Oryzias latipes: one gene and its partner. Each later gene encodes a partner of the first gene's protein in a complex. Links are inferred from orthologs where the notes say so. Each region holds a gene or a part of one and is shown in the gene's direction. Other genes may lie near its edges. The genes, in order: cnot10 and cnot8.

Region 1 (4,575 bases):
TGCCACTTCATGGATTCGTTTTTTCTCCTTCAAGGAAAATTCTGCCAATAGGTTCGCTGAGCACAGCTTGTGCTCAACAGGTGCTGTTCGTTTTCAACCTTTTACTCACAATCACCTGTCTAGAATCAGCTGCAAATTACACACAAGTTTTCTGTGTTGACATTGCAATTACCAGGGAAAAAAAGCTTTTGTTTTATCTCAGCTTAAAGATGATTTGTTGTAATTCATCGATGCTGTTATTTTATTTTGTTCTGCATCCACATGATTGCGTTTGCACCTGATTTCAGATTAAACCGGTTCAGTGTGGGACACACTTGTGGTTTCATTTGAATTTGTCATATCCATCCATCCATCCATTTCTGTGTCACAGTGTTGTCTGTCGTAGGGCACACAATCACACACACATGCACACCTATAGGGACACTATTAGAGTAGCCAATTAACCAATGAAGCATGTTTTTAGACTGTGGGAGGGAGCTGGAGTGCCTGGAGAAAACCCACACATGCATGAGGAGAACAGGCAACTCCACAGACAAAGGTCCCAGTCGGGATTTAAACTGGGGCCTTCTCAGCACTAACCATTGTTCCACCTTGCAGCCCAGCGGCATTGTTATATTTGAACCCTGTTGAAGGGAATTTGCAGGACATGGGTGGGGGTGGTTGGGTGTGTTATGTTTTGGGGATGGCTCCCATCCTCGTCTCCTTGATTAGCTGTTTCCTCTATGTTCTTTCTTAACTCCATCTCTGCCTCTTTTTCTTCACGTTGTCTCCTTATTATTTGAAGTTTCCATTAATCTGTTTTAGTTCCTCTGTTTCTTCTTCTACCTCGCCTCACCTTTCCCTCTCCTGTCCATTGGAGAACAAGGAACAGTTTACCTTTAACTTGCATCTGGTATTTCATTTCTCACTGAGGTTATTGTAGTTAACAAGAAAAAACCAAACTAGATGTGATAAGGCACAAGAAGGAGACAGAGGCTTTGGGTAAGTAGCTCAATGACACCTGTGTTGACACCTTGATGCTACAAGACACAATCTCCAGCAGCTGCTCAGAGATCCGCCCAGCCTGCTGAAGAAAGAGGCGCACCATCAGACTGACCATAGCCACTGAGGAGAAGGACTGGAAGATACAGTTGAGGAGGAGGAGGAGCAGCATCATCAGGTGTCACTGAACTAATCCATGCGTATACCCCTGCAGGACTTGGAGAAGAAGCTGGATGTGTGCCGATCCTCATTGACGAGGCAGCTGTTGACCCAAAAGGAAAAGAGCAAGGAAGTCAGAAAAGAATCTTGCAAATAACAGGAGCAGACTGATCAGCTGAGCAGATACATCCTAAAGAGTTTCTGACTGTTTCATTCTCTGCCTTTTACTGACAGACAGATATTGGAAGTGGAGAAGTTCCACTATTGAGCTCATTTAATGAAGCCACAGAACTGTCTTCTACCTGATCAGCAGCCTGACTCGATAGGACGGATGTTAGATTTTGTTAATAAAGTTTGTTTATACTTAACTACAAATAAAGTTTATTCAAAATAAAAAAAGACGGCGCGTGCTCTCATTCTTACCATGGACAGTTACTTCCAAAGGGGGCGCTGTTGACAAACCGTGCGCTGGTGTCGATGGCGCCAGTGACCGAAGAAGAACCAAGAGAAGCGGCTACAGCAGTCAGTCACTGAAGCCGACCACAAACAGAGCTGGTCCGGTTCGTGTAAAACTCTTTCCAGTTGGATATTCAGGATTTCCTCTTCCCGGCGTTGTTCTTGTGTTCTCCTACAGCTCCGCGGCTGGATTGTGGATGAAGACCCGGGAAATGGCCGAAAACTCCGGTGGGTGTTCCGGCTGATGATGCTACTAACTAGCTGCTGCTCAGTTAGCGGCTGCTTCTGCATGATGATGATCCGTCAGTGTAGCTGAAACCCCCCCAAAAGACATTAGAGGTAGCCCGACAGCCCCGTGGCAGATCCAGGACTCCCAGGTAACCGTCCCGAAGTTGGGGTGCAGATAATACTGAGCAGACTGTGGTTAGATCAAAGTTCTTGAGGTGATCCAAGCAGGTCCTGCTGCTCATCATGGAACTATGACAGGACAGACCATAACTCAGACACAACACCACGTATGAAGGAACCCCAGCTTGGCCATGAACAGACGCGTCCCACAATAAACTGAGAGAAGGTCATTACGTCGTCATACACGTGACATTCTTTTGCTAAACTTAAGGCTACAATATCTGCCTTAAATGAGAGGGATTTTCAGAAATGGTCTTAGGAAGTTACCATGTGGGGTCTGAAGCCTCCAGAGTGAGAGGGAAGGACTGCAGAGACATGGCGCCCTTTGGGTTCTGGTTGAGCCACGCATTCCGTCCTCAGGTGGAACTCAGAGGGTTTGATGTCTCCTCTGTTGCAATTTCAGCCGAACGCAACGAGGAGAAGCATGACGGCTCGGGTGTGACGGGCATGAGCGACCAGGAGAAGGAGCTGGCCTCGAGTGCGTACGAGTGCTTCTTGGTAAGTCCGTCTCTCTTCGGATCGTCAGCAGAACAGGTTTTGGTGCATGTGGTGGAGGCTGGAGCTGGGTAATGCCACACGACGTGAAGCCTCTGTGTCTCACAGGCTGGACGGTACGAAGAGTCCATGAAGCACCTGGAAGCCCTGCTGGAGTTCAACAAAGAGGACTACAAGATCGCCATGAACAAGGCCGTCACAGAGTTCTACAGGAGCAGTCAGACCACCACGGGCACTTTGAGGCAGACGCTGATGGCCATGAAGAACCGGGTAACAGCAGCTCACCGACACCTGCACTCTAATACGTTATGAGACGTTTGATTGGCCGACTGTGTCCGCCAGCTCCACTCATCGCTGACGGAAGACGCCGATGGCCTGGACGACGTGGAGAACAGCCTGCTGTACTACAATCAAGCGGTCATCTGTTACCACTTGAAGCAGTTCTCTGAGGCCATTTCCATTGGAGAGAAGCTCTACCAGTTCTTGGAGCCGTTTGGTGAGTAGTCAGCAGGGCAGACTCCCCGCCTGCCGCTGTCTGTGGCACAGGTGCATGCTCTGCTCTGCGTCTGGACGTTCACATGGGGGTCACTGAGGTCACATTGTGAGAACACTGGGGTCCTGTTGTGTCCCAGAGAGGTCTGTTTCAGAAATGGAGAGTCCCTGCAGCCTCATTGATTATGGACCTGGAGTGTTTGACGACGCTGAAGTTGGCTTCCGATTCACAGCTTCCAATTCTCCAGGGGACTAAAGGAACATTCCACGGCATTTTTCACATGAAGGCCACGTAGAACCGGTTCCTCTTCAAACCCCACAGGGCCTGGACTGCTCAAACCTGGATTCCATTATGATTTAAATAGTAAATACATTAAACACAGATGTGGAGAAGTCTTCATGAATGTCCAATGAGGTTTAGTGCATGGACACACCATCTTTGGTCATGTGACCCTAAGGTCTGTGCTGAGCTCAGTTGACGAGTTTTCAGCTCCCTGGTAGTTGCTCTTCAACCAGATTCTACAAACTTCTAGCTTTTCCAATAATGGGAAATGTCAGATGTTGGGGGGGGCACACCCAAAGTCACCTGTCAGTCACCAGATCACGCCTCCTTTTTGATCCCAAATACCCTCAAATGGAAGCATCGTCTCCATTGTAGTGTCTGTAAATGTAATGAGAGGTCAAACCTGGATTTATGCTGGTGCTGCCTTTTCTGATGTAAACATCCCAGCTTTCTTTGTGATCTGACCAATCAGCTGATACTTTTCTTTTCAAACCAGCTTCAATGATGAAGTTAAAAGTCTTGGTTTGAGCCACATCTTCAGGCTGTCCATCTTCAGACGGCATGTTGTGCAGCAGGATCTGTTCTCAGCGCCTGTGGGTTCAGCTTTTTTCTGCAACGTTCTGTCTGAAAGCTCCTGTGATGGATCAAGTTCCCACAGTCACCGTCCTGATCCTCAGGGACGCGTCCCGCACAGTCTGACCCAACAGGAAGCCTGCTGGTGCAGACTGGACTGGGGGGGATTGCTCCATGCATGGCGTGCCTTACATCAGGTCTGCTCTCGGCTGTGTGTGTAAAGACTTTTTCATTTGTCCCAGAAGAGAAGTTTGCTCAGGCCGTCTGCTTCCTCCTGGTGGACTTGTACCTGCTGACCTTCCAGCCAGAGAAGGCGCTGCACCTGCTCGCCGTGCTGGATAAGCTGTCTGCTCAGGGCGGCAGCAGGAACGGGAAAGGAGAGGTAAGCGGCGCCGGCAGTGTGATGAAGAGACGCCTCATTTACAGGAGGAGGCTTTGTTCTACTTAGATTTGTTTAACCTTTTTCTGTCCCTTAGGTAAATGTTAAACCTTAAATCCTAATGATTTACAAGAACAAAGATGTTGAAAAGCAGAGTTATGGTATCTTTCGGAGTATAAATAGCTTTTTAGTTTGGGCAGGGGTGTGACTTATACTCAGGAGCAAATGATATATGTGATTTAAAAAAACTGTTTTTTAAACTGAGTCTGAAGAGACGGAAGCACCATTCAGACGCAGCTCCTGCAGCAGACGGTGAAGCTCACCGTCCTGGGAGAATCTGTGAACGATG
Region 2 (3,167 bases), on another chromosome or scaffold:
TGGGATGCTGCTTCTATTCACATTGATAGTAAACTTTTGCAGAACCTCTGAAACTGTTCAATGTCTAGAGGAGTTGATTCTCTGAGTTTTTAATCATTAATAATTTTTGTTTTGTCTCAGTGGTTATGACTTTGGCTATCTGGTGAAACTCCTGACGGATGCGCGGCTTCCAGAGGAGGAACACGAGTTCTTTCAGATCTTAAACTTGTTTTTTCCTGCAATTTACGATGTGAAGTATTTGATGAAGAGCTGCAAAAGTCTGAAGGTAAGGCCTGCGGGTCACAGGGTTTATTGCTTTCTACATCCCCGAGGAACGTGGAGCCGTCTCACTCCGTCTCCGCTTGTTCCTGCAGGGGGGGTTGCAGGAAGTGGCCGATCAGCTGGAGCTGAAGAGGATTGGCCGGCAGCATCAGGCGGGGTCGGATTCGCTGCTCACGGGCATGGCTTTCTTCAGGATGAAGGAGGTACAGTCTTCATCGTTTTCCGGCTGACAGCTGTTCTGTTGCAGCTGGAAGTTTTTGTGAATCTGCTTAGATGGTTTATAAAATGTCTTTCGAGAAATGCATTTATAAATGCGTAGAATTGTAGATCTTTAGTGTTTTATGTGTGGACATACACTCACCCACTTTAGCAGCTCCACTTTGCTTGTACCCTCTTTAGCCTTCAGAACCGCCTTAATCCTCTGTGGTTTAGAATCAGCAAGGTTCTGGAAACATTCCTCAGAGACTTTGGTCCATGTTGACATGACAGCATCAGTTGCTGCAGATTTGTCAGCTGTACATCCATGATGCCGATCTCCAGTTCCACCGCATCCCAAAGGTTCTCTATTGGGTTCTGGTGACTGTGGAGGCAGTTTGAGTCCAGAGAACTCATTGTCATGTTCTAGAAACCAGTCTGAGATGATTCCAGCTTCATGACATGGAGCCTTATCCTGCTGGAAGTAGCATCAGAAGATGGTCCACTGTGGTCATGAAGGGATGGACATGGTCAGCATCAATACTCTGGTAGACTGTGGTGCTGGAACCATGCTCAGTTGGTACAAAGAAAACATCCCCACACCATGACACCACCACCACCAGCCTGAACCGTTGATACAGGGCAGGATGGATCCATGCTTTCATTTTGTTGAGGCCAGATTCTGACTCTACCATCTGAATGTGGCAGCAGAAATGGAGACTCATCAGACCAGACAACGTTTTTCCATCTTCTATGGTCCAGTTTTGGTGAGTCTGTGTGAATTGTAGCCTCAGTTTCCTGTTCTTAGCTGACAGCAGTGGTACCCGGTGTGGTCTTCTGCTGCTGTAGTCCATCTGCCTCCAGGTTGGACGGGTTGTTCTTTCATTGATGCTCTTCTGCAGACCTCTGTTGGAACCAGTGGTTCTTTGAGTTCCTGTTGTCTTCTATCAGCTGGAACCAATCTGACCTCTGGCACCAACGAGGCATTTCCATCCACAGAACTGCTGCTCTCTGGATGTTTTCTCTTTAAGGACCGTTCTTTGTAAACCCTAGAGATGGTTGTGGGTGAAAATCCCAGTAGATCAGCAGTTTCTGAAATCCTCAGACCAGCCCGTCTGGAACCAACAAGCACGTTCAGAGTCCCTTCAATCACCTTTCTTCCTCGTTCTGATGCTCGGTTTGATCGTCTGGACCATGTCTAATTAATGCACAGAGCTGCTGCCATGTGATTGGCTGGTTGGACAGGTGTGCCTAATAAAGTCGCCGCAGTTCAATAAAAAGGCTGCTTTGTTTCATTTATTTCATTTTATTTCATCTGAAAATGTGAAACTTTAGCATCAGCTGGATTATTATGAACACATCAAAAATGTCATTTCTTAATTGTCTGCAGGTTTGTGGATGTTTGGTTCAGTGTGAAGGTGGTGCAGAAATAATCCCAACAGACTCGTTTGTTTGTCTGTCGCAGCTTTTCTTCGAGGACAACATCGACGACGCCAAATACTGCGGGAGGCTGTACGGCCTCGGCTCCGGCTCCAGTCAGCCGCAGAACGGCCTCGCCGGCTCCACGGGCGATGAGGCCAACAACAAGCACTGAGCCCCCCCCCCAGAGTGTTTTAAAAGCCAACCAGCGGGTTTCTGCTCCCATCTTCTCACTAAATACCCCAATGTGAGCCCTCACCGCCTCTGCAGGCTGCAGTGGCCCCGCCCCTCATGGCAGTCAGCAGTGGCCCCCTCCCCGGGCTCGCTCTTTCTTTTAGTCACTTTTTACTTCATTTCCAAACACTTTTTAAAACGCCTCATTTGCAGCATGGGACCAGCTTCAGGATGATTCTGCCCCCCAGCAGGATCTCCTTGTAGGTTACACTCATGTAAATGAACATGTTTTAGCTCATGTCCACTCAGAAGGTGGTGGTTCTCCAGCAGACCACACTCTTCCGCTCACTGTTTTTACATTCTGCATCGTTGTCAACAGTTGTATATTAAATTGTTTTGTATTTTCAGTGTAATCGTGGAGCGTTTGGTCATTTCTGGACAATCCTTTTATTCTGTTCTTCAAACACCTCTGTGGTCAAGTCAAAGCGATGCTCAGAAATGACTCGTCAGAACCGGGATCTAGAGCCGAGTCATGTTTTAGGAAAGAGAGGACGAGCATGCTTGGGGAAACTGGGCTAAACCTGGTCCTCGGTTCTTACAGGTGGGGCAGAACAGGGGTCTTCAGCATCATCTCTGCTCCTCCTGCTGGAAGGTGGACGAAGGCGTGTTCTGCAGCAGACTAAGAGAAAAGGCAGCAGGGAAAGAAAGAACTTTGACAGAAACTTAGTGGACGTGACGGGCAGCAGAACTTTGGATCTCCTGTGTGATCAAGAGATCAGAGGAAAGAGTGCTGGGCCTCGCCGGTCGGGCCATGTTTACAACACTTATTGTGGACCCCCTCTTCCCTGGGGTGTCCTCCTCCTGGGCGGGGACGGCTGGCCCCTGCCTTGCTCCTTCCTGGACCAACCGTGGGCCGGGCGGATGGCTGCCTGGAGTGCGGGTCGGGTCTCCCTTGGGGGGTCCTGGCTCGTACCTGGGGTTTGGGCGGGGGGATGCCCGGAACTCCTCGGTGGTGATGGGGTGCTCGTCTGGGGCTGTGGGTGTTCTTCTGGGGCGGTGCCCCGCGTTGAGCCTTCCCGGCGTAGCGGTGGGGCTGCTCTCCTGTTAGGCCGGAGCAG

Evidence for each region.
Region 2: cnot10 (region 1) and cnot8 share a complex: the UniProt entries of both Homo sapiens proteins name them as parts of the CCR4-NOT complex. The link is inferred for Oryzias latipes from reciprocal best matches to the Homo sapiens genes CNOT10 and CNOT8.

Annotation. Positions count from the first base shown.
Region 1 is NC_019874.2:7,745,462-7,750,036, forward strand, and holds the start of cnot10 (CCR4-NOT transcription complex subunit 10), read left to right. Parts: upstream 1-1,597; 5' UTR 1,598-1,793; coding exon 1,794-1,824; intron 1,825-2,407; coding exon 2,408-2,502; intron 2,503-2,607; coding exon 2,608-2,769; intron 2,770-2,841; coding exon 2,842-2,995; intron 2,996-4,089; coding exon 4,090-4,229; intron 4,230-4,575. UniProt on the Homo sapiens protein: Component of the CCR4-NOT complex which is one of the major cellular mRNA deadenylases and is linked to various cellular processes including bulk mRNA degradation, miRNA-mediated repression, translational repression during translational initiation and general transcription regulation.
Region 2 is NC_019872.2:29,383,712-29,386,878, forward strand, and holds the end of cnot8 (CCR4-NOT transcription complex subunit 8), read left to right. Parts: intron 1-120; coding exon 121-265; intron 266-353; coding exon 354-464; intron 465-1,921; coding exon 1,922-2,050; 3' UTR 2,051-2,462; downstream 2,463-3,167. UniProt on the Homo sapiens protein: Has 3'-5' poly(A) exoribonuclease activity for synthetic poly(A) RNA substrate. Its function seems to be partially redundant with that of CNOT7.